7 linked regions of the Macaca mulatta genome follow. The protein of the gene in region 4 interacts with the protein of the main gene of each other region in a pairwise test. Links are inferred from orthologs where the notes say so. Each region holds a gene or a part of one and is shown on either strand. Other genes may lie near its edges.

The links.
Region 1: the proteins of KEAP1 (region 4) and WDR83 interact in binary tests that used the Homo sapiens proteins (3 or more experiments, as listed by UniProt). The two-hybrid records come from large-scale screens. The link is inferred for Macaca mulatta from reciprocal best matches to the Homo sapiens genes KEAP1 and WDR83.
Region 2: the proteins of KEAP1 (region 4) and HSP90AA1 interact in a two-hybrid assay, tested with the Homo sapiens proteins (2 studies listed by BioGRID). The link is inferred for Macaca mulatta from reciprocal best matches to the Homo sapiens genes KEAP1 and HSP90AA1.
Region 3: the proteins of KEAP1 (region 4) and ETF1 interact in binary tests that used the Homo sapiens proteins (3 or more experiments, as listed by UniProt). The two-hybrid records come from large-scale screens. The link is inferred for Macaca mulatta from reciprocal best matches to the Homo sapiens genes KEAP1 and ETF1.
Region 5: the proteins of KEAP1 (region 4) and CCNB1IP1 interact in binary tests that used the Homo sapiens proteins (3 or more experiments, as listed by UniProt). The two-hybrid records come from large-scale screens. The link is inferred for Macaca mulatta from reciprocal best matches to the Homo sapiens genes KEAP1 and CCNB1IP1.
Region 6: the proteins of KEAP1 (region 4) and PRKAG1 interact in binary tests that used the Homo sapiens proteins (3 or more experiments, as listed by UniProt). The two-hybrid records come from large-scale screens. The link is inferred for Macaca mulatta from reciprocal best matches to the Homo sapiens genes KEAP1 and PRKAG1.
Region 7: the proteins of KEAP1 (region 4) and MAD2L1 interact in binary tests that used the Homo sapiens proteins (3 or more experiments, as listed by UniProt). The two-hybrid records come from large-scale screens. The link is inferred for Macaca mulatta from reciprocal best matches to the Homo sapiens genes KEAP1 and MAD2L1.

Annotation. Positions count from the first base shown.
Region 1 is NC_133424.1:13,219,518-13,223,686, reverse strand, and holds the start of WDR83 (WD repeat domain-containing protein 83), read right to left. Parts: upstream 2,801-4,169; 5' UTR 2,728-2,800; coding exon 2,625-2,727; intron 2,542-2,624; coding exon 2,421-2,541; intron 2,339-2,420; coding exon 2,233-2,338; intron 1,948-2,232; coding exon 1,899-1,947; exon of another isoform or gene 1,898-1,898; intron 1,816-1,897; coding exon 1,689-1,815; intron 1-1,688. Other genes in the region: WDR83OS (PAT complex subunit Asterix), read left to right, coding at 3,115-3,164, 3,285-3,390, 3,893-3,990, 4,085-4,151. UniProt on the Homo sapiens protein: Molecular scaffold protein for various multimeric protein complexes. Acts as a module in the assembly of a multicomponent scaffold for the ERK pathway, linking ERK responses to specific agonists.
Region 2 is NC_133412.1:175,437,709-175,441,972, forward strand, and holds the start of HSP90AA1 (heat shock protein HSP 90-alpha), read right to left. Parts: upstream 2,801-4,264; 5' UTR 2,742-2,800; intron 2,144-2,741; coding exon 1,982-2,143; intron 1,893-1,981; coding exon 1,526-1,892; intron 1,206-1,525; coding exon 1,072-1,205; intron 778-1,071; coding exon 457-777; intron 342-456; coding exon 176-341; intron 1-175. UniProt on the Homo sapiens protein: Molecular chaperone that promotes the maturation, structural maintenance and proper regulation of specific target proteins involved for instance in cell cycle control and signal transduction.
Region 3 is NC_133411.1:147,383,511-147,387,010, reverse strand, and holds part of ETF1 (eukaryotic peptide chain release factor subunit 1), read left to right. Parts: intron 1-2,802; coding exon 2,803-2,941; coding exon of another isoform or gene 2,942-2,976; intron 2,977-3,500. UniProt on the Homo sapiens protein: Component of the eRF1-eRF3-GTP ternary complex, a ternary complex that mediates translation termination in response to the termination codons. The eRF1-eRF3-GTP complex binds to a stop codon in the ribosomal A-site.
Region 4 is NC_133424.1:11,220,694-11,224,193, forward strand, and holds part of KEAP1 (kelch-like ECH-associated protein 1), read right to left. Parts: exon of another isoform or gene 3,060-3,500; 5' UTR 3,013-3,059; coding exon 2,374-3,012; exon of another isoform or gene 2,206-2,373; intron 1-2,205. UniProt on the Homo sapiens protein: Substrate-specific adapter of a BCR (BTB-CUL3-RBX1) E3 ubiquitin ligase complex that regulates the response to oxidative stress by targeting NFE2L2/NRF2 for ubiquitination.
Region 5 is NC_133412.1:93,119,324-93,122,823, reverse strand, and holds part of CCNB1IP1 (E3 ubiquitin-protein ligase CCNB1IP1), read left to right. Parts: coding exon 1-131; intron 132-1,355; coding exon 1,356-1,689; intron 1,690-3,500. UniProt on the Homo sapiens protein: Ubiquitin E3 ligase that acts as a limiting factor for crossing-over during meiosis: required during zygonema to limit the colocalization of RNF212 with MutS-gamma-associated recombination sites and thereby establish early differentiation of crossover and non-crossover sites.
Region 6 is NC_133416.1:56,182,775-56,187,074, forward strand, and holds the start of PRKAG1 (5'-AMP-activated protein kinase subunit gamma-1), read right to left. Parts: upstream 2,801-4,300; 5' UTR 2,748-2,800; coding exon 2,739-2,747; exon of another isoform or gene 2,253-2,738; intron 1,363-2,252; exon of another isoform or gene 1,243-1,362; intron 1-1,242. UniProt on the Homo sapiens protein: AMP/ATP-binding subunit of AMP-activated protein kinase (AMPK), an energy sensor protein kinase that plays a key role in regulating cellular energy metabolism.
Region 7 is NC_133410.1:128,906,774-128,911,071, forward strand, and holds the start of MAD2L1 (mitotic spindle assembly checkpoint protein MAD2A), read right to left. Parts: upstream 2,801-4,298; 5' UTR 2,726-2,800; coding exon 2,653-2,725; intron 1,814-2,652; coding exon 1,667-1,813; intron 1-1,666. UniProt on the Homo sapiens protein: Component of the spindle-assembly checkpoint that prevents the onset of anaphase until all chromosomes are properly aligned at the metaphase plate.

The sequences.
Region 1 (4,169 bases), about 2.0 Mb from region 4:
ATGGGATTACAGGCATGCGCCACCATGCCCTGCTAATTTTGTATTTTTAGTAGAGACAGGGTTTCTCCATGTTGGTCAGGCTGGTGTTGAACTCCCAACCTCAGGTGATCCGCCCGCCTTAGCCTCCCAAAGTGCTGGGATTACAGACATGAGCCACCCCACCTGGCCCAATTCCCTCTTCTGTATTCTCCAGCTCCTCCTCCTCAGTACTCAGTCCCACCACTTTCCCCACTACCCAGCACCATCATCTAGACTGCTCTGGTCTCCCTGCACCCCCACAGCCACCAGAGGGAGCACTTTTCAAAGTACAGTTGATCCATGAACAACAGGGTTTGAACTGAAGCAGTCCACTTATATGTGGATTTTCTTCTGCCTCTATCAGCCCTGAGACACCAAGACCAACCCCTCCTCCTCCTTCTCCTCCGCCTTCTCAATGTGAAGATCTTTATGATGATCTCTTCACTTCCACTTAATGAATAGAAAATATATTATTTCGGCCGGGCGCGGTGGCTCACGCCTGTAAATCCAGCACTTTAGGAGGCCGAGGCAGGCGGATCACAAGGTCAAGAGATGGAGACCCTCCTGGCCAACATGGTGAAACCCCGTCTCTACTAAAAATACAAAAATTAGCCAGGCGTGGTGGCGTATGCCTGTAGTCCCAGCTACTCAGGAGGCTGAGGCAGGATAATTGCCTGAACCCGGGAGCTGGAGGTTGCAGTGAGCCAAGATCACGTCGCTGTACTCCAGCCTGGCGACACAGACTCTATCTTAAAAAAAAAAAAAAAAAAAAAAAAAAAAAAAATTTCCTTATGATTATTTTTTTAAATTTGTTTTGTTTATTTATTTTTGAGACGAAGTCTCGCTCTGATGCCCAGGCTGGAGTGTAGCGGTGCAATCTTGGCTCACAGCAAGCTCTGCCTCCCGGGTTCACGCCATTCTCCTGCCTCAGCATCCCAAGTAGCTGGGACTACAGGCACCTGCCACTACGCCCAGCTAATTTTTTGAATTTTTAGTAGAGACAGGGTTTCAGCGTGTTAGCCAGAATGGTCTCGATCTCCTGACCTCAGGATCCGCCTGCCTCAGCCTCCCAAAGTGCTGGGATTACAGGCGTGAGCCACCACACCCGGTCTATTTTTATTTAACTTTTTAAATCGTTTCATTTTATCTTTTTTTTTTTTTTGAGACGGAGTCTCACTCTGTTGCCCAGGCTGGAGTGCAGTGGCACAATCTCGGCTCATTGCAACCTCCAACTCCCGGGTTCAGGTGATTCTCCTGCCTCAGCCTCCCAAGTAGCTGGGATTACAGGCTCCCATCACCACACCCGGCTAATTTTTTTATTTTTAGTAGAGACGGGATTTCACTATGTTGGCCAGGCTGGTCTCAAACTCCTGACCTCAAGTGATCTGCCCTCCTCGGCCTCCAAAAGTGCTGGGATTATAGGTGTGAGCCACCATGCCCGGCTTGATTATTATTTTATTTTTTAGACAGTCTCACTTTCACCCAGCATGGAGTGCAGTGGTCCCTCAAACTCTTGGGCTCAAGTGATCCTTCCACCTCAGCCTCCCAAGTAGCTGAGACTACAGCTGTGTGCCACTGTGCCCAGCTGAGAGTAGGTTTTAATCTGAGCATGGGGGCAGCTATGATTCCCAGTAGCACCTCGGCTGAGACCAGGTCCTGGCTCCACTCACCCTGTCAGGACCTCGTGGTCTGACACCTTCACACTGGACACGCCATCTCTGGCCTCATCCAGCGTTTGCACTGGCTCAGGCCTCCGTGAGCGGCAATCCCAACAGCGGATACTGGAATCAATAGAGCCTGTGAGGCCAGCATGATGGTGAGGTCAGGTTTGGAGGGGAAGGGCAGCATCCTGGACCCCCCTGCGTAGGTCCCAGACTCACCGGACAGGATAACTGTGGCCTCTTCATTAAACTGCACCGTGTTCACCTTCTGAGAAAGTTATTGCCACTCAGAGGAGGCTGGACTTTGGAGGACTGGGATAAAGGCAGGGTTCCCAGTGTCGGTTAAAGCAAGGGCAAAGGTTAGAAGGGGAGGTGAAAGGTTTTGGGGGAACAGCAAGGACAGGGGTTGGTGACTGCCTAGCCTGGCATGCGGAGCGGGGGATCGTCATCTGGGGAAGGGATCCTTACGGTGTAATGGGGGTGGCTTCATCACCACCTGTGCGCTAATACGGGTCCCCTCCGCTCGAATGAGGGTCTCCAGGCTTTCACTCACCCCTGCATGGCCCCGGAATTTGCGCACGACCTGTCCTGATGCCACATCCCACAGAACCACCGCCTTGTCCCCGCCGCCGGAGCAGAGACTGCTGTTGTCAAAGGAGCTGGAGTAAAGGAGGAGGAAGATCAGCATCGACCTCGGATCCCAGCCTCAGCGCTCCCATCCCAGCCTGGCCCCCGGCTCACCCGGCCGCATCCAGCACCTCGTAGCCGTGGCCGCTGTACGTCCGCAGCAGCGTCCCCCGAAGCGGGTTCCATAGCTTCAGGGTCTTGTCACTGCCGCACGTCAGGCAGTAATTGCCATCCACTGGGGAACACCAGGCGGGGGTTACTGGGCCGCCGACCTCAGGAGGCGGGAGGAGGACCCGGAATGAATACTAAGGCGCTCACCATTAAATCGTACGGCTCGCACCGCCCCTTGCCCGCAGTCCAGCGTCTTCAACCGTTTCTGCGGCAGCTCCGGAGGCCGCGGCTTTGGCTCAGGGAAAGCCATAGTCCCAGGACCCCTTCCTCGCCGCCTTAAATCGATCTGTATGGAAGATTCCGCGCCTTCGAAACCCACGCTTGGGTGTAACCTTATTATTGTTCTTCCTGAACTACTTCCTGTTTATCACTTCCGGGTTCATCATTTTGGCATTTGGGTGCTCTTGTTGGAACTATTGAAGCCCGATTTCAGGTTCTTTTCCCCATTTCCCCTTTGCAAGGAAGGCTTCTGGATTCTCCTAAATTTCCGATCTCTGGGTAGGAGGAGTCCAAGTCTCTGTCATGAGGAACGGAAATGTGAGGGCCTCGGGTGTGACTCTAAAATCCGCCCTCAGCTTGCACGCCGGAAGCTGCAATTTCTGCAGCGGAAGAGGCGTGACCTGGCCTTCGAGTCGCTATGTCTACTAACAATATGTCGGACCCACGGAGGCCGAACAAAGTGCTTAGGTGAGGACGCCAGCGTCGTGGCCACGGGTTCGGGTTGGGGGTGTGGATCGGGGCCCTGGGAAGCGTCTGTCTATCCCGGGGACAGGACCTGAGCGCCCCTGACCCTCGAGCCTGTCGCAGGTACAAGCCCCCGCCCAGCGAATGTAACCCGGCCTTGGACGACCCGACGCCGGACTACATGAACCTGCTGGGCATGATCTTCAGCATGTGCGGCCTCATGCTTAAGGTGGGCGGGATTGAGCTTCTGTGGGTGTAGTTGGACCTGAGAACGAGGCCCGGGGGCGGGTTTGGAATGAAGCCGGGCGTCTTGTCATTGCTGATGAGGCAGGACCTGAGATCGGCCGGGAGTGGGGCTGGGATGACGCTGGGCCAAGAAAGCCCCAGTCTTTGGTGAAGTCAAGAATTCGGGTCAGGGCGGGGATGTGGCAGATTGGTCTGCGGGTGGGGCCAGGCTTTGAAGCAACTTGGAGGGGACTCGTGGAAAGGGGCAGGGTCTTAAGCATGTGGGATGTCAGAGTCTTGGCCCTGAGAGACGCAGTCCAGGCAGTAGGACTAGAAACCATGTATCTGGAGTATGCCATGAGCAGGTGGGACTGAGGAGTTCCGGGGGGCAAGGTCCCAGCTGCATCAGATGGAATCAGTGGGCATGAACTGGTGTCTGGAAAGGTGGCTTCGGGACTCATTGTTGTGCCTTTCACTGACCTGCCCACCCACCTACCTTTCCCCAGCTGAAGTGGTGTGCTTGGGTCGCTGTCTACTGCTCCTTCATCAGCTTTGCCAACTCTCGGAGCTCGGAGGACACGAAGCAAATGATGAGTAGCTTCATGTGAGACTTGGCCGAGAGAACGAGTGACTCTTGAGTAAGGGGTGGGGGGACTCCAGCCTGCCCATCCTGGACTGACACCTCTCTCCTGTCTCAGGCTGTCCATCTCTGCCGTGGTGATGTCCTATCTGCAGAATCCTCAGCCCATGACGCCCCCGTGGTGATATCAGCCTAGAAAGGTC
Region 2 (4,264 bases), on a different chromosome or scaffold from region 4:
TTCAGGAGAGATGGAGTTTCACCATGTTGGCCAGGCTTGTCTTGAACTCCTGACCTCAAGTGATCCGCACACCCCGGGTTCCCAAACTGCTAGGATTACAGGTGTGAGCCACCATGCCCAGCCAGAAGTATTTCTTTAATCAGTGACAGTGATTATTTTTCCTATCTATACTTACTCAGATATTCAGGGATTAGCTCCTCACAGTTATCCATGATGAAAACTCTGCGTACATACAATTTGATGTTGTTCTTTTTCTTTCTGTTTTCAAACAGGTCAAAAGGAGCACGTCGTGGGACAAATAGAAGGGCTCTGAATTCCAACTGCCCTTCAACTGAAAAATGCTGTAATAGAACAAACACACTAAGTATCAATGAACAATGCATTATAGCAGATATTTGGGGTGGTGGGATGATAATCTAAAGACAAGCTTGAAGCATCCATCAGTCCCTCACTCACCTTCACTGCCAAGTGATCTTCCCAGTCATTGGTCAAGCTCTTGTAGAATTCTCCATACTCCTCATTAGTAATATCGTCGGGATTTCTGGTCCAGATGGGCTTTGTTTTGTTGAGTTCTTCTTGATCGATGTACTTCTCCTTAATCTTCTTTTTCTTCTTCTTGTCACCATCCTTCTTTTCTTCTTCTTCCTCATCAGAACCAACATCTTCAATTTCAGGTTTGTCTTCAGACTCTTTCTCTTCTTTTTCTTTTTCTTCTTCTTTGTCTTCTTTTTCTTCAGCCTCATCATCGCTGACTTCTTTATCACGTTCCTTCTCCACCTTCAAAAGACATGAAATCGCATCACTGCTGCACTCTAGAACTAAGTCATAGCGCTGCCCCACTACTTTCAACCTAAGGCCAAAGCCTAAATTACCGAGGATGAGAAGCAGCCAGGCAGCTTCTCATCAATATTTGATATATCTACTTAATAACCCGAGGAACCTTCACAGTTAGTAGAGCTTAGGTTCCCCAGGCTTCAAACTAGTTCAACAGACCTAGGAACTAAGGATGTAGTACAGTCACCCCAGTCACCTACAGACAGTAATTCACTCTGCAATTATGTAGAAACTTACAAAAAGAGTAATGGGATATCCAATAAACTGAGAATGTTTCTTCACAATCTCCTTTATTCTTCGTTCCTCCAAGTACTCAGTTTGGTCTTCTTTCAGGTGTAGGATAACCTTTGTTCCACGACCCATAGGTTCACCTGCAAGAGAAATAAGGAAAATTGACTCAATAATACATTCAATTTAGTGCTCAACGCCATGCTTAACCCTTATAACGTGTCTATGAAGCGAGGTTTGCCCTTACTACAGATGCAAAGGCTCCCACAGCAGATCTAAGTGCCTTGCCCAAAAGAAGTAATCACCAAGTCATGCCATTACACACTAATTCAGAGCTCTAGCTTGTTCCTGATCCTTGGGTAAACACACTTTCTGTGAACTTCGCCGCATCCCCAGGGGTCCAAGGGTTGCAACACCCCACCATTCCGCCACTGACTTAACCAGTGAGTGTTCAGGTACCTACCTGTGTCTGTCCTCACTGTAAATGATCCCCCTGCTGAGGACTCCCAGGCGTACTGCTCATCATCGTTATGTTTGGTGATCACAGTTACTTTCTCAGCAACCAAATAAGCAGAATAAAAACCAACACCGAACTGGCCAATCATGGAGATATCTGCACCAGCCTGCAAAGCTTCCATGAACGCTTTGGTCCCAGACTTGGCGATAGTACCAAGGTTATTGATCAAGTCAGCCTTGGTCATCCCAATTCCAGTATCCACAATAGTGAGGGTTCGATCTTGTTTATTTGGTATCAGGTTAATATGCAGCTCTTTCCCAGAGTCTAATTTACTGGGATCCGTCAAGCTCTCATAGCGGATTTTGTCCAATGCCTATTAACACAAAATATTAATTAAGCATACAGCCCCCAAGAAGTTCATATTGAAACCAAAATCCTATTCTGGGTTAATAAACGACTTACATCTGATGAATTTGAAATTAGCTCTCTTAGAAAGATCTCTTTGTTCGAATAAAAAGTATTGATAATCAATGACATCAACTGGGCAATTTCTGCCTGAAAGGCGAACGTCTCAACCTCCTCCTCCTCCATCGGTTGGTCCTGGGTCTGCGTTTCCTCAGGCATCTGGAACGACACCGCGCCGGTTTAAAACCCTGCAGGGCGTCTACAGGGGCAACACGAGATTCCATCGCGTCCTCCCAATATTTTTAAAGCCGGATTGCAGATTTGCGAAGTTTAAGTAAACCGAAAATAGAAGGGCGGCTGACAAAGGATGACCTCATTTCGGAGCGCGGTAACTACCACGAGCGTGTGCGCGCTTCCGGGAGGCCACTGCAGGCCCGGCCCAGTCCCGCGCCGCGGTCCCCAACCGACACCCCGTGTGCCCTCCCGCGCGGGCCGCGGCTCCGCCAGGGCGGCCTCCTCCGCCTGCGCCCCAGCTGGGCCGCCCGGGGGGCCCCCAGCCAAAGGGCCGCTCTGCTCGCGTGCGGCGCCAGCTCCGGGGCTGCCGCGGAGACTCGGGGAGCAGCCGCCCAGCCCATTCCTGAGGCGGGCTGCGGAGACAGCAGCGGGCCCACGGCCTCCGGAATAGGCAGCGCGGCCTCCCGGGAGAGCGGCCCTGGCGGGTTCAGGGCTCCCGTTCGGCCCCCACAGCCTCCGCTCCGCGCCAACCGCCCCCACTCCCCAATCCACCTCCACAGGCCCCCACAACCGCCCCTCACACCTTGGCTAAAAGGCTGCAAACGTTCCACGGCACAGCAGCACCAAGACGCTGAAGCAACTGACGCGCCGCCCCCGCGCCTGCCTTATATAGCGACGGGCCCGCCCAGCGCGCGGCGCTTTTTCCAGAAGCCTCCCGAACCTTCCGGAAGAACCCTCCCCAACCGCCGCCGCGGCCGCGCGCCTGCGCCTGCGCCCTCGCCGTGGCCCGCCCCTCCCGCTGGCGCGCGCAGGCCCTGCTCATGGCCCAGCCCGGGAAACCTTCCCTCAATCACCGCCCCGCGCCTCTCGCACGCCCCCGCGCCGACCTCAATGCGCCTGCGCGGCCTGGAATTCTCGGGAAGGTCCGGGCGCCTTCTGGGGCCGCCCGCGCCCTCCTCCCTGCACTCCCACCTGCCGAGCGCGGGCGGAGGGCACGCCCGGGCGTGGGGGCCTTTGAAGTGAGGTGTAGTTTGGTCACCCGGGCTGCGCAGAATGCGGGGCTGGGGCGGGAGGCGCGCCTGGAGGGAGGGCCGTGCGTGGACGGGGAGCGCCCCGGGTCTCGCACGCCCGGGAGACTACCGGAGCCGTCATCCTCACGGACGGCGCGCCCGCTGCCAAAAAATCCAGCCGCAGGCGGCGCCGGGATCGCGGGGCTCTGCTCCCTGGGGGCCTTTGGGCTGTTGGCTTCTAGCTGCTGCGCGCAGGGGACGCCGTCCCGCGGCCTGCGCGCTCGGGGAGTCTCCAGACCCACTGCTGGCTCAGGAGCGCTCCCTACCTTTGGGTTCCCCGGAAGCCATGTCCTTCACACTTCAGGGTCCCTTAGCTTGGGAATCGGGCCCTTGGTGAATAAATTCATGCTTACCCAGCTACACCCGGCATGCTTTTTAAAAGCCCATCGTTTTGCCGATCGATTTGAGGTCTCCAAATTAAGTATCTAACACTTGACATTTTGGTGATTAACCTTCCCTAAAAGACAGGTTTGGTGTTTTTTTGTTTTTGGACAGGCTGTCCCTCTGTCGCCCAGGCTGGGGTGCTGTGGCACAATCTTGGCTCACCGCAGCTTCGACCTCCCGGGCTCAGGTGATCCTCCTACTTCAGCTTTCCGAGTAACTGGGACGAGCGCGGGCGGAGGACCACAAGCGCGGACACCACACCCGGCTAGTTTTTGTATTTATTTGTATAGTTGGGGTTTCACCATGTTGCTCAGGCTGGAAGAACCAGTTTCTACATGAGAATTTTCAGATATTTTGGTCAAGGCCAGCTATGAGAACCTTAGAGGTGTTGGGGTTCCTTAGACTTGGCTCCCATGCCTCGTCCATGTCCTCTTCCTCTCTGGCGCCTCCCATGATTGGGCCTCCTCCTGCCTAAACTCATAGCCAGGTCCTCGGAATAATCTGGAAGCTCCTTACCGTGTAAACAAACGACGGAACTACCTCCGCTTCCTGGTCTCTAGGGAAACCAACTTACTCAGGAGCAGGGGTTTTCAGACTGCGGCCTGGGACCCTTTAAGAGTGTGTGAAATCAACATAAAGCGTCTTGCCCAGC
Region 3 (3,500 bases), on a different chromosome or scaffold from region 4:
TTGGCTAATTTTTTGTATTTTTTTAGTGGAGACAGAGTTTTGCCATGTTGGCCAGGCTTGTCCCAAACTCCTGGCCTCAAGTGATCTGCTCGCTTCAGCCTCCCAAAGTGTGTGTGTGTGTGTGTGTGTGTGTGTGTGTGTATTTTTTTTTTTTTAATTTTTGTGGGTACATAGTAGGTGTATGTGGGGTACATGAGATGTTTTGATACAGGCATGCGATGTGAGCTATCACACTATGGAAAATAGAGTACCCATTTCCTCGAGTGTGTGTCCATTGTGTTACAAGCAGTCCAGTTATACTCTTTGAGTTATTGCACTCAGTTTTCACATAACAAATTGTAAACTTTTTAGTAGCAAAACTGTAAGAACTCATTTTCTCCCTTTCCCCATGAAACTTTTGAGTGACAAAGCTGCCATAAGATGAACTTGAACGGTGGAAAGGAAACCTCATTAGAGTGACCTAAATCAGTCAACAGTAGAACAATCACGAATTCACAGCTGGCTCCTAGTTCAGTCTCTTGCCTTTCATCAACCTAGGAAAAACCTCTACAGTGGAATTAGAACTGACATTTGTCGACAGTTTACAATAGATGATTTTTGCTAACTTGATGGGAAGTCCATTTATAGTTGGATCTTGGTCGACTACATAGACAATCCAGACTGTTTTTCTCTTCACTACCACACTGTACTTACAGCAGATGGTTCTTCAGGGAGCCTCTTAGCCACTGAAACCACTTACCTGTATCTGGTTGGATGAAAGCAGATTTTGAATCTTGTTGATTTAAACAGTGCCAGGTACCCATGTTGTCTGGCTTTTGCTCACTTACTGAGTTAGCCTTATTGGCTTTTTTCCAAACCTTAACTCCTTTTCTAAGATACTGTTTAATCTTGCTAACTTTGTACATTTTAGCTTTAACTGAGAGGGTTATATCCCGTTTATCAGGGTAATTATATATTCTAATAAGGGATAAGCCTGTTCCCTGATAAGCAGATTTATTGAAAACTTCAATCTACCTAACAGGTCATTTTGATAAGGCTGTATTATTAATGTGCAATATTCATATTCAAGGCCTATTTTTTTCTCTTTTTTTTTCTGAGATTGATTTTTGCTCTGTTGCCCAGGCTGGAGTACAGTGGCACGATCTCGGCTCCTTGCACCTTCCACCTCCTGAATTCAAGTGATTCTCCTGCCTCAGCCTCCAGACTAGCTGGGATTACAAGTGTGCACCACCACGCCCAGCTAATTTTTGTATTTTTAGTAGACAAGATTTCACTATGTTGGCTAGGCTGGTCTGAAACTCCTGACCTCAAGTGATCCACCCACCTTGGCCTCTCAGAGTGCCATTGCAGGGATGAGCCGCCACTCCCAGCCACAATATTCATATCTTAATGCTAACTATCTAGCATGGTTTTGTTAAAGATGGATTTTTAGTTGATCCATCTGCTTTCTAGTCAGTTATTGAAGGGGCTGTTTTCCTAAAATGGAATGGTAAGGCCAGGTTTTGTGGCTCACACCCATGTAATCCCAGCACTTTGGGAGGCCAAACAGGAGGATCAGTTTATAAAAATAAAACGGAATGGGTAACAGTTTCTTACTTCCAAAGAGATTGTCCTCTGGCAGTTAGAGATCTACTAAGTGTGTAGTATTCCAATTCCATTGTGAGAACTCTTATCTATGTATGTCCCAGGACTGTTTCAATATTTTCTCTTTGGGAAGGCATAAATAATGGGGATATAAAGTTAACATATAAGGAAGGTTTTCCTCATAAAACTCTGAATCACTAGCTGTACTACCTTTAAAGGCATGCTGGCTCATGCCTGTAACGCCAGCACTTTGGGAGGCTAAGACAGAAGGATCATTTGAGTCCAAGACTTCGAGGCTGCAGTGAGCTATCATGGCCACTGCACTCCACCCTGGCCACCAAAGTGAGACCGTCTCAAAAAAAAGAAAAAAAGGAACAAGTTAAAGTTTTTTTGTATTTTGAAACAGGGTCTCTGGATCTATCACCCAGGCTGGAGTACAGTGGCACAGTCTTGGCTCACTGTCAACCTACACCTCCCTGACTGAAGCCATTCCAAGTAGCTGGTAGGCACGTGTCACCACGGCCACCTAATTTTTGTTTTTTTTTTTTGTAGAGACAGTGTTTTGCTGTGTTGCCCAGGCCAGTCTCAAACTCCTGAGCTCAGCCTCCCAAAGTGCTGGGATTACATGTGTGAGCCACCACACCCAGCTCAGAACTCTGTATTACAAAACTGAAACTATATCCGTTGAGCAGTAATTCCTTGTTCCCCCTTTTTTCCAGCCCCTGGCAACCACCATTTGACTTTTTGTCTCTGATTTTGATTACGCCGGGTACCTCATATAAGTGGAATCATGCAGTATTTGTCCTTTTTTTGACAGGGTTATTTCACTTAGCATGTATTCAAGTTTCATCCCTATTGTAGCATGTTTCAAATTTTTCTTTCTTTTTGAGATTGAGTAGTATTAACTGCTGTGTGTAATATTGCTATAAACATGGGCATACAGATATCTTTGTGCTTTTATATTTACATGCCCATGTCAAATATGTTGAAAAGCTTCACATAGATACCATCCGTTATTTCCTTATTGGGTTCAGATTTGTCCATAAGAGTTACATGATTATAACTGAAGTCTATAAATTATTCCATAGAATGGTTTTTCCACAGTGCTAATAACATGGTGAGTGGAGTGAAAGGGCTTGTATATGTCCTTTCTCAGAGTTTTTTTGACCTTAGCAAAGCTTTGGGATTCACCATGTGGTACTTGTGTTTGCTTTTCAGGCTCTTACAGCACTACTTTCAGATGATAGCAAGTTTGGATTCATTGTAATAGATGGTAGTGGTGCACTTTTTGGCACACTCCAAGGAAACACAAGAGAAGTCCTGCACAAATTCACTGTGGATCTCCCAAAGAAACACGGTAATACAGGAGGAGAACATGAACCCACTTACTTTGTGTCTAGCAATAAGAAAACAGTATGATGGGCCGGGTGCGGTGGCTCATGTCTGTAATCCCAGCACTTTGGGAGGCCGAGCCGGGTGGATCACGAAGTCAGAAGTTCGAGACCAGCCCAGCCAAGATGGTGAAACCCTGTCTCTACTAAAAATACAAAAATATGACGGGTGCTTATAATTCCAGCTACTTGGGAGGCTGAGGCAGGAGGATTGCTTGAACCCGGGAGATGGAGGTTGCATTGAGCTGTGATTGTGCCACTGCACTCCAGCCTGGGCGACAGAGCAAGACTCTGTCTCAAAAAAGAAAAAAAGAGAAAACAGTATGATGTGAGGGGAGTGAATCCAGATGATAGGGAGAGAAGCCTCCCGGAATGACGGGTGCCTCACTGGTGCTTATGGCTCTTCTCTTGACATAGAATTAGTAGTCGCTCTCTGAAAACAAGTAGCAGTTTATGCTAAACGTTTAGTTAAGGGAATGGTGATTTTTCTTTGTCCTTTTCTTGGATGATGACATGATTATTTTA
Region 4 (3,500 bases):
ACCTGGACTGTTTTTGCTTTTGAGACAGGCTCTGTCACCTAGGCTGGAGTGCACGATCATAGCTCACTGCAGCCTTGAACTCCTGGGCTCAAACGATCTTCCCACCTCAGCTTCCTGAGTCGCTGGGGATACAGGTGTGTGCCACCATGCACAGCCAATTTTCATATTTTTATGGTAGAGACTGGGTTTCACCACATTGGCCAGGCTGGTCTAGAACTCCTGACCTCAAGTGGTCCACTCCCCTCACCTTCCAAAGTGCTGGAATTATAGGCATGAGCCACTGCACCCAGGGCTGGTCTTAAAATCTTTTTTTTTTTTTTGAGATGGAGTCTCGCTCTGTCGCCCAGGCTGGAGTGCAGTGGCGCAATCTCTGCTCACCGCAAGCTCCGCCTCCCAGGTTTACACCATTCTCCTGCCTCAGTCTCCCGAGTAGCTGGAGTAGCTGGGACTACAGGCGCCCACCACTACGCCCAGCTAATTTTTTGTTTTTTAGTAGAGGCGGGGCGTCACCAAAGTGCTGGGATTATAGGCATGAGCCACTGTGCCAGGGCTTTTTTTTTTTTTGAGACAGAGTCTCGCTCTGTCACCCAGGCTGGAGTGCAATGGTGCAATCTCGGCTCACTGCAACCTCCACCTCCCCGGTTCAAGCGATTCTCCTGTCTCAGCCTCTCAAGTAGCAGGGACTATGCCACCACATATGCCACCACATCTGGCTAGTTTTTTTTTTTGTTTTTTTTTTTTTTTTTTTTTTTTGAGACAGAGTCTTGCTCTGTCGCCCAGGCTGGAGCGCAGTGGCCGGATCTCGGCTCACTGCAAGCTCCGCCTCCCAGGTTTACGCCATTCTCCTGCCTCAGCCTCCCGAGTAGCTGGGACTACAGGCGCCCGCCACCTCGCCCGGCTAGTTTTTTGTATTTTTTAGTAGAGACGGGGTTTCACTGTGTTAGCCAGGATGGTCTCGATCTCCTGACCTCGTGATCCGCCCATCTCGGCCTCCCAAAGTGCTGGGATTACAGGCTTGAGCCACCGCGCCTGGCCTTTTTTTTGTATTTTTAATAGAGATGGGATTTCAACACATTGGGTCAGGCTGGTCTCAAACTCCTGACCTCAGGTGATCCACCCGCCTCAGCCTCCCAAAGTGCTGGGATTACAGGCATGAGCCACCGGGCCCTGCCCTCTCTTATCAATTTCTATAGATAATTTCCTTCAGAGAAACGAAAATGAAACCAAAAATGGTAAAGACATTGCGTGGACCAAAGAAAACATGACTAAGGTTCAGGCTTACAGCTTGCAACCTGTAATGGGTGTCCAATAAACATTTGCTGACTGTCCGAAAGGCTGGGCTGCCCCAGGATTTGGCTGCTTTTCACTGCACTCTGTCCCCACCTTTGACCCCAGAGAAACTAGGGAGCCCAGAGACACATGAAGACCTCACCTTCCCCAGCTGTTCACCAGTGTCCCCACATGCGTAGACAAGGAACTCAGAACCCCAGTTGTTTTTTAATTTTTTTTTTTTTTTTTTTTGAAACTGAGTCTCGCTCTGTCGCGCAGGCTGGAGTGCAGTGGCTTGATCTCGGCTCACTGCAACCTCCGCCTCTCGGGTTCAAGTGATTCTCCTGCCTCAGCCTCCTGAGCAGCTGGGACTACAGGCGCGCACCACCAGGCCTGGCGAATTTTTATATTTTTAGTAGAGATGGGTTTTCTCTATGTTGGCCAGGCTGGTCTTGAACTCCTTACCTCAGCTGATCCACCCACCTCAGCCTCCCAAAATGCTGGGATTACAGGCGTGAGCCACCACGGCTGGCCTCAGTTTTTTTTTTTGTTTTTTTTTAGACTGAGTTTCGCTCTCGTTGCCCAGGCTGGAGTGCAACGGTGCGATCTTGGCTCACAGCAACCTCCGCCTCCTGGGTTCAAGTGATTCTCCTGCCTCAGCCTCCTGACTAGCTGACATTACAGGCATGCACCACCATACCCGGCTAATTTTTTTGTATTTGTAGTAGAGACGGGGTTTCTCCATGTTGGTCAGTCTGGTCTCAAACTCCCATTCTCAGGTGATCCGCCCGCCTCGGCCTCCCAAAGTGCTGGGATTACAGGCTTGAGCCACCGCGCCCGGCCCCCAGTTGTTTTTTATTTATTTGTTTGTTTGTTTAGAGACAGGGTCTCATTATGTTGCCCGGGTTGGTCTTGAACTTTTGGCTTCAAGCAATCCCCCCACCTAGGCCCCCCAAACTGTGGGGACTACACCACCGTGCCCAGCCCAGAACCTCCTTTTCCTCCAGGTTCCTGCCTTCACATCTCAAGGGGAAACAGTGATGAGCACTCATCCATCCCTGGTCCTTCTCCTGACACTGCCCCCAGCCCCACCTCCCCGCTCACCTCCCCGAAATGCATGTAGATATACTCCCGGGCACGCTGGTGCAACTCCACACAGCCAATCTGCTCGGCGAAGTTGGCGATGCCGATGGCATTGCTGGGGTCCAGCTGCTGCACTAGGAAGTCACTGCAGGCACGGACAACGCTGTCGATCTGGTACATGACAGCGCCGTTCATGACGTGAAGGACACACTTCTCGCCCATGGAGATGGAGGCCGTGTAGGCGAATTCGATGAGGCGTTCCATGACCTTGGGGTGGATACCCTCAATGGACACCACCTCCATGCCCTGCTCCCGCAGCCCATTGGTGAACATGGCCTTGAAGACGGGGCTGGATGAGGCTAGCACCACCTTGTGGGCCATGAACTGGGCGGCAGGCGCGTCCTGGTACTTGACCTGCAGTGTGACGTCACACAGCTGCTGGCTGAGCCGCAACTCGTTCATGATGCCGAACGCCTGTTTGGTATGATCCTCCAGGGTATAGCTGAAGGTGCGGTTGCCATGCTGGGAGGGCGTCACCTCCGCCTTGCACTCAGTGGAGGCATACATCACCGCGTCCCCTGACCCCTCAGGGCACTGTGACCGCAGGGGCAGGAATCGGCTGCAGGCCCCAGCCCTGCTAGGCTTGGGATCTGGCTGCATGGGGTTCCAGAAGATAAGCAACACCACCACCTCTGGCACTCAGGGGCCTGGAGGGGAGAGAGCACAGGGCAGGGGGCACGGGTTGGGGTTGGGCCAGCACCTGCAGGGTCTCCTTTTGTAAGATAAAGCAATTCCTAGGTCAGTTTTCCTGCAGAGTAGGTGAAGCAGAGTGCATTTGCAAATTTGCAAACATCTCCCTGACCTGACCAGCCCAAGAGCCCATCTTAAAACATAGATGAGGTCATGTCTCTCCCCTGCTCTGGATCCTCCAACGCCTCCCACAGTACCTAGTAAAACTGAACTCCTCAACAGCCTGCAAAGCCCTACGCAATTAGCCCCTGCCACCTCTTCCCTTTGATCACTCTGTTTCAGTAATCTGGTGGCCTTTCCCTTTCTAGAGCATGTCGGGCTCATTCCTTCATTCGCCTCACCATTTGTTGGGCACCTACTGTATGCCAGGCACTGATCTGGGTGCTGAAGACACAGCA
Region 5 (3,500 bases), on a different chromosome or scaffold from region 4:
GGGCAACCCTACGCACGCGCGCTCTGGTGTAGTTCCCTGGAGCACTCGCGCAGAGAATCCTGGAATCTTCGCTTGTGGAGCTGTGGAGGCAACGGAGTTTTTCCGCGCTTTTTCTTTCAGCCTCAGATTAAGTATCATTTGTTATTATTATTTTCTCTACTGAGCGCGGAAAGCTGACTGAAAATTCCAGACTGTAATTTCTGTGGGGCTGTTTCTCTAAAACTTGGCCCTCACGCAGCTTGTACAGCCATTAGATAGGCGCTTACTCCCAACTGGTGGAAGATTCGAATTAGCTGCGCCTCTCTTGCCTGAGCGAGGGCTCAGCTTTAAAGCTTCCCAGCTCCTCTGCTTCGCCTCTGCCCCGGACGTAAAATAGGCCTCTTAACGTGGCTGCCAGGTGACATACCTGAGGAAACTCACTGAGCGGGGCTACTGGGATAAAGGTGTCCAAGTGTTCCTTTCTGTCGACCCGGAGGGCCAAGGCACCTTTTTTTTTTTTTTTTTTTTTTCTCTGAGGTGGAGTCTCGCTCTGTCGCCGGCTGGAGTGCAATGGCGCGATCTCGGCTCACTGCAACCTCCGCCTCCCGGGTTCAAACGATTCTCCTGCCTTAGCCTCCTAAATAGTTGGGACTATAGGCGCACGCCACCACGCCAGGCTAAATTTTTGTATTTTTGGTAGAGACGGGGTTTCACCATGTTAGTCAGGCTGGTGTTGAACTCTTGACCTCGTGATCCGTCTGCCTCGGCCTCCCACAGTGCTGGGATTATACAGGGGTGAGCCACTGCGCCCGGCCTATATATTGGTTTTGAGACAGATTCTTGCTCTGTCGCCCAGGCTGGAGTGCAGTGGCGCGATCTCTGTTCACTGCGACCTCTGCCTCCCGGATTCAAGTGATTCTCCTGCCTCGGCCTCCCTAGTAGCTGCGACTACAGGCTTGAGCCACCACGCCTGGCTAATTTTTGTATTTTTAATAGAGACTGGGTTTCCCCATGTTGGCCAGGCTGGTCTCGAACTCCTGACCTGCCTGCCTTGGCCTCCCAAAGTGCTGGGATTACAGGCGTGAGCCACTGCCCATGGCCCACATATATATTATTTTTGACTTTAGCAAGATCTGTAACCACCTTTGTCTTTACCTTTATCCTTAAAGTGTTTTTAGAAAACCGGACAAACAAGGAGCACAATTAATATTATTGAGTAACTGAAATCAATATATCAATTATACTAAATACAAGGAATATAATAAAATGTGCAGTATTTTATAATAAAAACATGCATGTTATATTTATTTTTTACTTATTTATTTTATTTTTATTGCAATTTAACTTACTTGGCCTTTTTATTTACCCCTTATTAGGACTCTCTTCAGCTTCTGGAGACCTCACTATCCTATTATGTCTTTGTGTGAAGACATGCTGCTTTGTAATTATCGAAAGTGTCGCATCAAACTCTCTGGCTATGCATGGGTCACTGCCTGCTCTCACATCTTCTGTGATCAGCATGGCAGTGGTGAGTTTAGTCGCTCACCAGCTATCTGTCCTGCCTGCAACAGTACCCTTTCTGGAAAGCTAGATATTGTCCGCACAGAACTCAGTCCATCAGAGGAATATAAAGCTATGGTATTGGCAGGACTGCGACCAGAGATCGTGTTGGACATTAGCTCCCGAGCACTGGCCTTCTGGACATATCAGGTTAGTGCTTAGTCTAGTTTCTCTTGAACATATAATTTCAGGCATTTGTGGGAGCTTCTAGTGTCTTTTCTTCATTATTTTATATTTATTTTTTATGAGTATATGAGAAACTGTCTTATTAGCTTGTTTTGTTTTCAATAATGTTTATTGTTGAAAATCAAAAGGAAGAAAATTAAAGCACTCATAATTCCATCACTCAGATATAACCATTGTTGATATTTTGGGTACACACACATGCGCGCGCACACACACACACACACTCTGTCTTCTGTATAAAAGTAAGATAATAACACACTGTTTTATTGTCAGAGTTGACAACATATATCTGGTATGTATTTTTCTTTCTTTTGAGATGGGGTTTTCTTGTGTTGCCCAGGCTAGTCTCTAACTCCTGGGTTCAAGCCATTCTTCTGCCTCAGCCTCCTGAGTAGCCTATGCTCCACTGGGTGTGAATATCTTGTTAAATATTTTTTAGTTAACTATTCTATAATCATATTTTAATGGTTATATTGTTTTTAGCATAATTTATTTCCAAGTTATTAAAATACTATGATAAGCATTCTTATCAAATAACACATCCTTAACTTCTTCCCTTTATGATTTCTACTTTAGTATTTCCTTTGAAAGACCTCCCTGTGGATAACTTTAAGCATGTCCTTGAATGTATTGTTATATCTTACATATACTCTTATACTTATTAAGGATGTTTGTCATCTGTTAAGTAACTTTTTATTATATTTTTCTGGGTAAGTTGTTTCTCTTACATGCTCCTGTATTTTTCAACTCCTTTGGTTAAATACCAAATAGTGTTTTTGCTGGCTTATGTGGTAAGAGTATGTTTATTTTTGTAAGCAACTGCCAAATTGTCTTCCAAAGTGGCTGTACCGTTTTATATTGCCAGCAGCAATGAGTGAGAACCTGTTGCTCCACATCTTTGCCAGAAGTTGGTATTGTCCATGTTCTGGATCTTGGCCATTTTAATAGGTGTATAGTGGTATCTCATTTTAATTTCCATGTCTCTGATGACATACGATGTGGAGCATCTTTTCATATGCTTTTTTGCCTTTTTTTTTTGGTGAGGTGTATATGAAGTTTTTGGTCTATTTTTAAATTTTTTTAATTGTTGAGTTTTAAGTGTTCTTTGTATCCTTACTGCGTTTGAAGTATTCTTTGATCCTTTCTCAGAGCTATCTTTTGCAAATATACTCTCCTGATCCGTGACTTGTCATTTCATTCTCTTACAGGGTCTTTCACAGAGCAGAGATTTTTAACTTGAATGAAGTCCTGCTTATCAATTTTCTCTTTCATGGATTATACCTTTGGTATATTTTAAAAGTCACTGCCAAATCCAAGATAATCTAGATTTTATCCTATGTTATCTTCTGGGAGTTTTATAGTTTTGCATTTTACATTTAAGTCTGTAAACCATTTTGAGTTTATTTTTGCAAAAAGCGTAAGATCTGTCTAGATTCATTGGGTCCTCAATTTTTTTCTGGCTATTCACCAGAGACTCTTAGTTACTTGCCTCTTGGGCCTTCCTGACATGGCTGCTTGCCTCCTCAAAGCCAGCAAGGGAGTGTGTCTCGTAGTAAGACAGACCTTATAGTCTTAGGTAATATACTTACGAAGTGACAACCTGTCACATTTTATGTAGTATTGTAGTCACAGGTCCTGCCCACATGCAAGGGGATAGGGAGTTACACAAGGGTGTATGTACCAGGAGACAATGATAATTTGGGGTTGTCTTAGAGTCTGTTCTTCATGCTCTGGATGACTTGAAAAATGGGATTATATTTCTTAAAAACCTTTGG
Region 6 (4,300 bases), on a different chromosome or scaffold from region 4:
ACTCTGTCATCCAGGCTGGAGTGCAGTGGCATGATTACAGATCACTGTATCTTCAACTTCCCCAGCTCAAGCAATCCTTTGACTTCTGCCTCCTGGGCTGCTGGGACTACAGGCACACACCACTAAGCCCAGCTACTTTTTGTATTTTTTTGTAGAGATGGGGTCTCGCTATGTTGACGAGGCTGGTCTTGAGCTCCTGGGCTCAAGTGATCCGCCCACCTTGGCCTCCCAAAGTTCTGGGATTACAGGCATAAGCCACTGTGCCTGGCCTCCTTTCTACTTTTAATAACATAGGGGACCTGAGAAAGTACAACTGTACCACGTAAGTACAAAATATTACAGAGACACAGTCTACATCTGACAAACAGACTCGCAATTTCTTCCAAACTTCTGATCTACGTTTCCAATTATTTGTTTGACAACCATAGATGTCACAGAGACTCCTCAAATGCTTCAATACGAAACAAAACATTTGTCCCTCCAATCCTATTATTCTTGCTGTAGTTCCCATCTTGTTTTTTCTGTTTTATACAGCTGTCTTCTTACCAGTTATCAGCTAAGCTGGTAATGTTATAAATGCCTCAGATCTATATCTCTCTCATTGCCAATTTTACAGCCTTAATTTAGGCTTTTACCTCTCACTTCTGCAAGACTGTTTAAATTGGGGTCCTTGGCCCATATCTCTCTGCTTTTCAATTTGTCTTTCGTGCTTTCACCAAAGCATCTCAGGTTTGGAAGGGGCTTTCATCTCCATTAACAAGAAACTTTACTTTCCGAAGTAGCTCAGTCCATGTACAGAAAGCTGCTATGAACATTCCTAAAAGACATTCACTGACTTGCTCATAAATCTTCCATGGGTCCCCTATTACAAAACAAAGTTCAAATTTAGCATGGTGTGTAATACCTTCAACCTGATCTTAGCCTACTTTTCCAGTCTTTTCTCTCACTGTGACCAAAATCCAAAGCCAGCAACACCAAGCCGCTGGCTCACCCCCAATTCTCCACATCCCCCAGTTTCAGTGCCCTTGCTCATACTGTTCTCTCAATTTGCAGTGCCCTCTCCTAGGTCCAAAGTAATTTTTCTCTCAACTATTCTGTCACAGTCCTTTGTTTTCATATTAATGATAGCATTTATTATAGTCTACCTTTAAATAACAGCTGTTGCTGGCTTGCCCTCACCCTTACTCCAGTTAGGCTGAACATTTTCAAAGCAGGAGTTTTCTTTTTCTTTTTTCTGGAGACAGGATCTCGTTGTGTCACTCAGAGTGGAGTGCAGTGGCATGATCTCAGCTAACTACAGCCTCCACCTCCCTGGATCAAGCAATCCTCCCACCTGAGCCTCCAGAGTAGCTGGGACTACAGGTATGCACCACCACCATCATGCCTGGGTAATTTTTGTGTTTTTGTTTTTGTCAAGACAGGGTTTCATCACGTTGCCCAGACTGGTGCTGAACTCCTGAGCTCAAGCAATCCACTTGCCTTAGCCTCCCAAAGTACTGGCATTACAGGCATGAGCCACCACACCTGGCTGTTTTCTTTTTCCTCTTTTTAACTTCTACCCCAGAGCCTAATCCAGTACATAAAGTGTGAAGGCTAAATTAGAAAATCTACATAAAAATGCTCTGTAAACCATACTACACTCACAAGTAAGTAGAATATGACATGTTATTTTAAATTTAATGGAATTAGACTCCTTATTTTTGTTCAAGATTATCTTGATTAGTCAGAACTGGCTCCCTTGCCTGGGAGACCAACTGCGAATCGTTTTAGTACTTTGGTCGGTTTTCTTTTCAAAAACCTGAAAGAAACAACCTCTCTGTGGGCAGAGAAAGGGTGTGGCAAAGAATTACTATGGGCATGTAATCCAAAGCAAAGTGAACCTGCAGTCCTTTCATAACTACAGTAGCAAATGATAAAAACCAAGATGGGAAGAGTTACTCTGCCTGAAAGAAGACACATGGTTAAAAACTGTGGAGAGGGAAGTGTATGGGAGGGGTTACAGAGCGCTAGAAAAAGACTCCTGAGAGTGAGGGTGGGTGCAAACATGCAGCAGGCAACCCGCGGCATCTGTGGGAGGGTGACAGGGCCCTGCCACAACTGGTCAATGCCTGCTCGCCAAGAATGCGCTGTGCCAAAACTCCTGCTTAGAGTCGCAGAGCGGGCCATGACCTAAACTTGTCCAGGGACACATCGGCCTCTAACACTGCAAGTTTTCCTCTTTCAAGCAAACCTCAATTCTCGGTCTTATTAAGGGAATGTGACTTCACTGGATGCAGTATAAAGATCTTCAGATGTCCTCCTGCCAGGGATTGCAGGGATCACAGAAAGACTACCGAGGTCCAGCAGCTACCTGCAAGCGGAGATCCCTCTGGACACCCCCTGCCTCACCCAGCAAAGCCGCATCACAACCCCGCGCTCTCAAACCTCTAAAAGGGCTTGAGGTGCTAAGAGGAAAGGAAGCCCAAGATTGCCACGGCTTACGTGGGCTCCAAGGAGGGCCAGGAGTCACTGCCTGCTTGGGCTAAGGGTACCGCGTACGGAAAGGCGGCGGGGGCGCGGCCCAGTCCCAGGAGATGCGCCCAACGAAGAAGCGGAGGGACACGGTCACGGGATAGGGCAGACACCCGGCTGCTTTTTGTTTGCTAGACACCAGCGCCAGCCCCTGCCCGGCCCTCCCGGTCTCCTAAGCGGGGTCTTAGGCTCTACAGCGCCCCCGACCGCCCTCCTGCGCTCCTCACCGTCTCCATTGCAAGAGGCGCCGGCTTGGTTTTCTCGCTTTAGGAAACTCTCTTGGGGAAGGCCACGCCCCACATCCGGTGCGGCGACGCCACTTCCGCCCACGTCACGGCAGTCGCCAGACTACGGCGGAAGGCGTGGAACCCACCCTTCCGGCGGTGGCGGGCCTCGGTAACCGCCCTCCCCCGGGTCCTCTCGGACCGCACGGATCCGGCTGACGGCGAGGGTCACGGGACGGAGCCGCTTGTATTTAAAATGTTCTTTTTTTATTTGTCGTTTAAAAACAAACTTGGAAGAAGCAAAATCCAAAACTTGCCCTTTGCCTCTCGCAACATAAATTATGTACAGTTCAGAATGATCGCTGATACAAAACATGCCAAGGACAGGGGCGCTGAGGGTGGAGGGAGAGAGGGCGCTTTAAAAAAGGGAACCATTTCATCCGTTGTTACGAAGGACCAACCTTGCTGTACAGGATACACACAACACAAAATAAAGTCTTCACGGGATTCACACTTGTCAGCGATTTATTTTTTAAAAAGGGGGAGGGTCCTGGAGGTGAGGGGAGAAGACTGTAAAGGGGAAAACTGAAAATTGAGTATGTGCGAGTGTAAACCAACCCAAAATACAAACACGGGGGGGTGGGGGATTCTGATGCAATTATACAGGCAGGGTACTTAAAAAAAAACCAACCAAAATTCCAACCTTGTAGCTTGGGTCTGAGTTATAGTTTATATAAAAATTAAAAACTGTATAAGGTTTCTTCACTAAATTCTACAGGACTATCGGATACCTAGCATATGCTTACAAAGTCTGCCCCATCCCCTTTTCCCAATCCCAGGGCCCAAGCCCCAAACACAGCCTGACTCACGGGAGCCAATCTCCCCCTCCCTGTAGCCTAGACCTATTGCTCTCCGAAAAGGAACATCAAGGGCTGTGGCTTTGAGGGCTGCAGCCCAGTCTTCCTGCTGTCTGATTTAATTACAGCGGTTCCTGTGGGAGTGGGGGGTGTTATTCTCTTAAACATTTGCAGCTTGAAACAGTTGAGGAAGCAGCTTTAAAAAAAAAAAAAAAAAAAAAATCTCCCTACCCCCAACAATCCACAACTCCCCAAATTCAAAACAAAACAAAAACAAACCTAAAATCACAACAGCCACCAAGCTCCCCCTCCAGCAGGCCCGCCCGTCCACCACCACCAAGCCCACCCCTACACTCCAGACATCGGATTCTTGAAAATATTAATTACAAAATGCCCTTTGCCCACAGCCCCTAGAAGAGAACTGCATATAAGCTTCATCTTCATCCCCACGGTTCCCTACCAGAGAGGGGTTTGGGGTGTCACCCACCCCTTACCTACCCCCACCCCCAGGAAGAGGTTAAACTGCAGCACAAGCTTGGGCAGAAAGGGGAAGGAAAGGGAGGCAAGGAACCCATCACCCTCTGGCTCCCCCTGGGGTCAGCTCTCTTTTGTGCGTTATAACATAGTCCAACTATACAACAGGGGGTGGGAATTGCCCAGCCTCTATACCCCCATCTTACAGCAGTCACAGCCAGGGGGTGGGGAGTG
Region 7 (4,298 bases), on a different chromosome or scaffold from region 4:
GCAATTTTTCCACTTTAACTAAAATAAAAGGGAGAAGTTAAATAGGAAGGTCTAGACACACATAACGTGAAGTGTCATCAATGCAGTCTCAAAGGAGACAACCTAAAAACCATTGGCTTCAATGCAGTCTCAAAGAAGACAACCTAAAAACCATTGGCTTAGGCAATGCTTGCTTCTCTAGCAAATTAAGATGGAAACACACATCCATAGTTGCCTAGAGGTTCCAGGCCAAATGATCTGAGTGCAGCCCTATGAATCACTACAGATGATTTATTCCTGACCCCCAATTTTGGATGCAACTCTGGGAGAGGTGGACACTCCTATCAATGTCTTTCCTGTGTACACTTGAGAACAGAGGTCTATTCCCACACCAAAAGAGGTCTCATCTTGCTATTTTGACAATACCAATCTACTACAGCAGCAGTTCTCAACTAAGGGCAATTTTGTCCCCTTGGGCACATCTGGCAATATAATTTATGGAGACACTTTTGGTTGTCAGAGCAAGGTGGTTTGTTACTGGCATTTGGTTAGTAAAGGCCATAGATGTTGGTAAACATTCTATAACACACAGAAAAGCACCCACACCAAAGAAATATCCAGGCCAAAATGTCAACAGGGCTATCTTCCCTTGCCTGTCAATTTAAGACGTAACATCCACAGGTTGTTGAGGCATTCCACTCCTGTACACATAAAAGGCAAGGCAATGTTAACAGTTTATCTAGAGGATAGTATAGGTTGAAAGAGAGTTATCAAGCTAAAAAAGTTCACATGGCCATTATCGGAAGGGCATATTAAAAATAGGTTAGTAAAAATGCAATAAAAACGGCAAAACAAAGACACATTTCTGGTCAACAACAAAAGAAATAATTTCTAAAAAAAAAAAAAAAAAAAAAAAAGATGCCCACTGTAGTACTTTCAAAAATTTTAGAAGATCAAATGGGAGAAACATTTGAAAAATTAGAAATGAGAATCCTAAGTGGAGGGTAACAAGAAAGAGAAACTAACAGGAATTCTAGAAAGGAAAAAGAAATAGATGAAGAACAAGTATTCACCCGACAGGTAATACAGCAATTTCTCGAACTAAAGAAAAACGAACGTTCAGACAGAAAAGGCTTACTGAATCACCGGCAGAATTTTTGAAAACGACAAACAGAAATATGTGAAAAACAAAACAAACAAACAAAAAAACTGTGAGTGTTCTGTCATTTAGCAGCTAATCTTTTTCTTTTTTTGAAGTTTATCTGGTTGAATCCAATTTCCTTGATATTAATCTAATGATAACATTAGACTACAGAAAACTAATTAGTTACAGAAAATACATTATATTGAGAATATGTAGTGTATATTTTCTCAGATAGTGAACACCATTATAATTATGTAAAATTCCAACCTGTTCCATTTGGCCACATTAACTGCGAAAGCCACTTCTAAGGGAGTTGATGAAGACTATTTTTCAGCCATATCAGATTTCTTACATCAAAATATTCAGCCCACTCACAATGTAGTGGGGGAAGAGTGAATTTCTTCCATTTTATATATTATTTGCTTCCTCTCAACTTAAAATATATTTGAGATGTGAGTACACTTCTATTTGCAGAGCGGAAAAATGACCACTTGAGATGCTAAAAAATCTGCAAGACTCAAATTATTTCCAATGATTAAATACCTTTTAGTTGTTCCACCACATTATTTAGGTATTTTATGAGCTCAAGATCAGTAGTTACAAGCAAGGTGAGTCCGTATTTCTGCACTCGAGTAAAAGTTTCAGATGGATATATGCCACGCTGATATAAAATGCTGTTGATGCCGAATGCTGCAAGCAAAAGAAATGTTACAGAAAATTCATTATCACTGCATAACTCTGGAAAATAAAATATATTTGGATGTGGCTATATTTTCATTAGGCTATACAGCTATAAATGACTGAACACACGTGTATCTTGCTGAAAGCAGAGTAGGTACAAAGTGGCATTAAAAATCCTTAAAAGTCTTGTATCTAAGTAAAAAAAGATAATTGTTTTCACGTGCCAAGGAAAAAAAAAGCCAAAGTGTATCAACCTACTATTGCCAAATTTCACCTCATTGTAATCCAAGTCCAAATTCAGATTATGAGGCTAGAGGATGTCAAAATAGGCTGTTGCATTCGAGTCAGCAACTGACTGAATAGTCACTTTGCTCCAGACAAGCCTGTATCTTCCCCTTTCCCTCCCAAATCCTGCCAGGTTCCTTTACAACGTGCAGCTGGCCTGTTCGAGAACAAGGGTTCCCAAAATCTTGTTTACCGCCAGCCTCATGCCTAATAATCACTTAGAGTGGGAGGGTGAGGGTGCTCTCGCAGTTAAAAAAAACACACACATACACACCCACACTGGGACCCACCCCAGTCACGCTGTGTCCTGTATCGGAAAGTAAGGGGTGGGAGGTGGGACGGATCTGCACTTAAAGGAAGAAACGCTCCGGAAGAGGCTACGCCGCGAGGTAGGCCCCAGCAGCACGCAGGCTTGCAGCTCCACGTTATAGCAACGCGTCAGGAGGAACAGCCTGCAGCCGCCGCTCCCAGATTACTTCTCCGGTCTCAGAGGCCGAGCTGTGGGCCTACTGAGCCGCCACGACTCAGTTCCCCCCAATATAATGGCCGGCGCGAGGACTTACAGAAGAACTCGGCCACGATTTCAGCGCTCCCGCGCAGGGTGATTCCCTGCTCCCGGGAGAGCTGCAGCGCCATGGCCAGGGACACAAACAAAGGCACGCACTTGCACTCGGCGGACAGCAACCACAGCGGCTCCCACAGCACTTCCCCGCCAAGCGTTTCAAAAGTAACGACGCAGCGCGTTGTCCGGTCCTCTGCGCAGGCGCGACGAGCCTCTAAGCCCCGCCCCACGCGGCGGGGCCCTGCCCTTTCTCTCCGCCTTCCTGCGATCTCGCGGGAACGGCCGGTTTGCGCAGGCGGAGTTGGTGGACCTGCTCGCGCTTGCCGGTTGTGACACTCCGGTAGGTTTAGGTTAGGCTGTGTCTTCTGGTCGTGGTTTACTAGTTGGGGCCGAGGGAAGAAGATGTCGATTCCAATTTCAGTAGCCGCTCTCTAGGCTTATGAACTGAAAGACCAAGGAGCACAGTTTCCGAGTTTCAAAGATACTTTCAAACTGAAAGGAACGGTTTGCCAGCTGCGCCCGTACTGGCCCATGTGACCCCTAGTGAAAGATCTAAACTTCCGCTAGATGCTTTGGGAATTCCTAAAGCGACTACGTGCACAGCAGCCAACCCACAGCTTTAGAGGGTTCGCCTTCTGTGTGGGAGCGCGGCTTTTCCCGAGAAATTGGGTTAGGGATTAAAGAGAACTGCATCCTTTTTTCTGCCCTTTGTCCACGTCTGTCCTGGGCTTAGGGCCACCCCTCCGAGGCCAGCGGGGTAGGCAAGTCGGGCGGTAGGGGGCTGCATCCGGAAGTCCAGGCTGCGTTCTGTCCACCCTGCCCACCCTTAGGGGGCAGGACAGGAATAAGGTCACCTCACCAAAGAGGCCCATCAACATTGAAGAATTTTTCAATGAATCTTGACTCACCAAACTCAATGACTTTTCATTGAAAAGGGTGAGAATTATTAAGGACATATTGCACAATTAATGTTCATGTCCATTTTGAAAGAAGTTTATTCTTAAAGCAGCTAGGAAGATATTTGTAAAACGACGCCTGAAAAACTCTCATATCTGCCAGACATTATAAGAGAAATACTTGAGTGTTGTTAGTTTTCCGTTTGCTGCATAACGAATTACCACACATCAGTGACTTCAAAACAACACCTATTCGTTTTCTCAGTCCTGTAGGTCAGAAGTCTGGACGTGGCATTGTTGACTGCTTTGCTCAGTCACACAAGGTTGAAATCGAAGGGTCTGCAAGTGGGATCTCATCTGAGGTTTGGGGTCCTTCTAAGCCCTCTGGCGGAATTTCCTTGGGGTTGTTGGACTGAGGTCCATTTTGTCTCGCCAGCTGTTGGCCAGAGGCCAGCTATGTTTGTCAGCTAGCCCTTCCACAAGCCTTCTCACACTTCCCATCTCTGTGATTTCGGGGAGACCCCAGCCCCTTTTAAAGGCTCACCTGATTAAGTCAGACCCAGTCACATCTCCCTTTTGATGAACCTAGTCCCAGAAGTGATATCTGCTCATATTTGTAGTTTTCCTACCCAGACTCCGGGGAGGGGATTATGTAGGTGTGCTCTCTAGGGGCCAGGAATGTGGGGAACTGGCTTAGAGTTCTGCCTGTACAGTGTTGTATATCATGTTTTGATCAGTTTGAAGAGTAAGG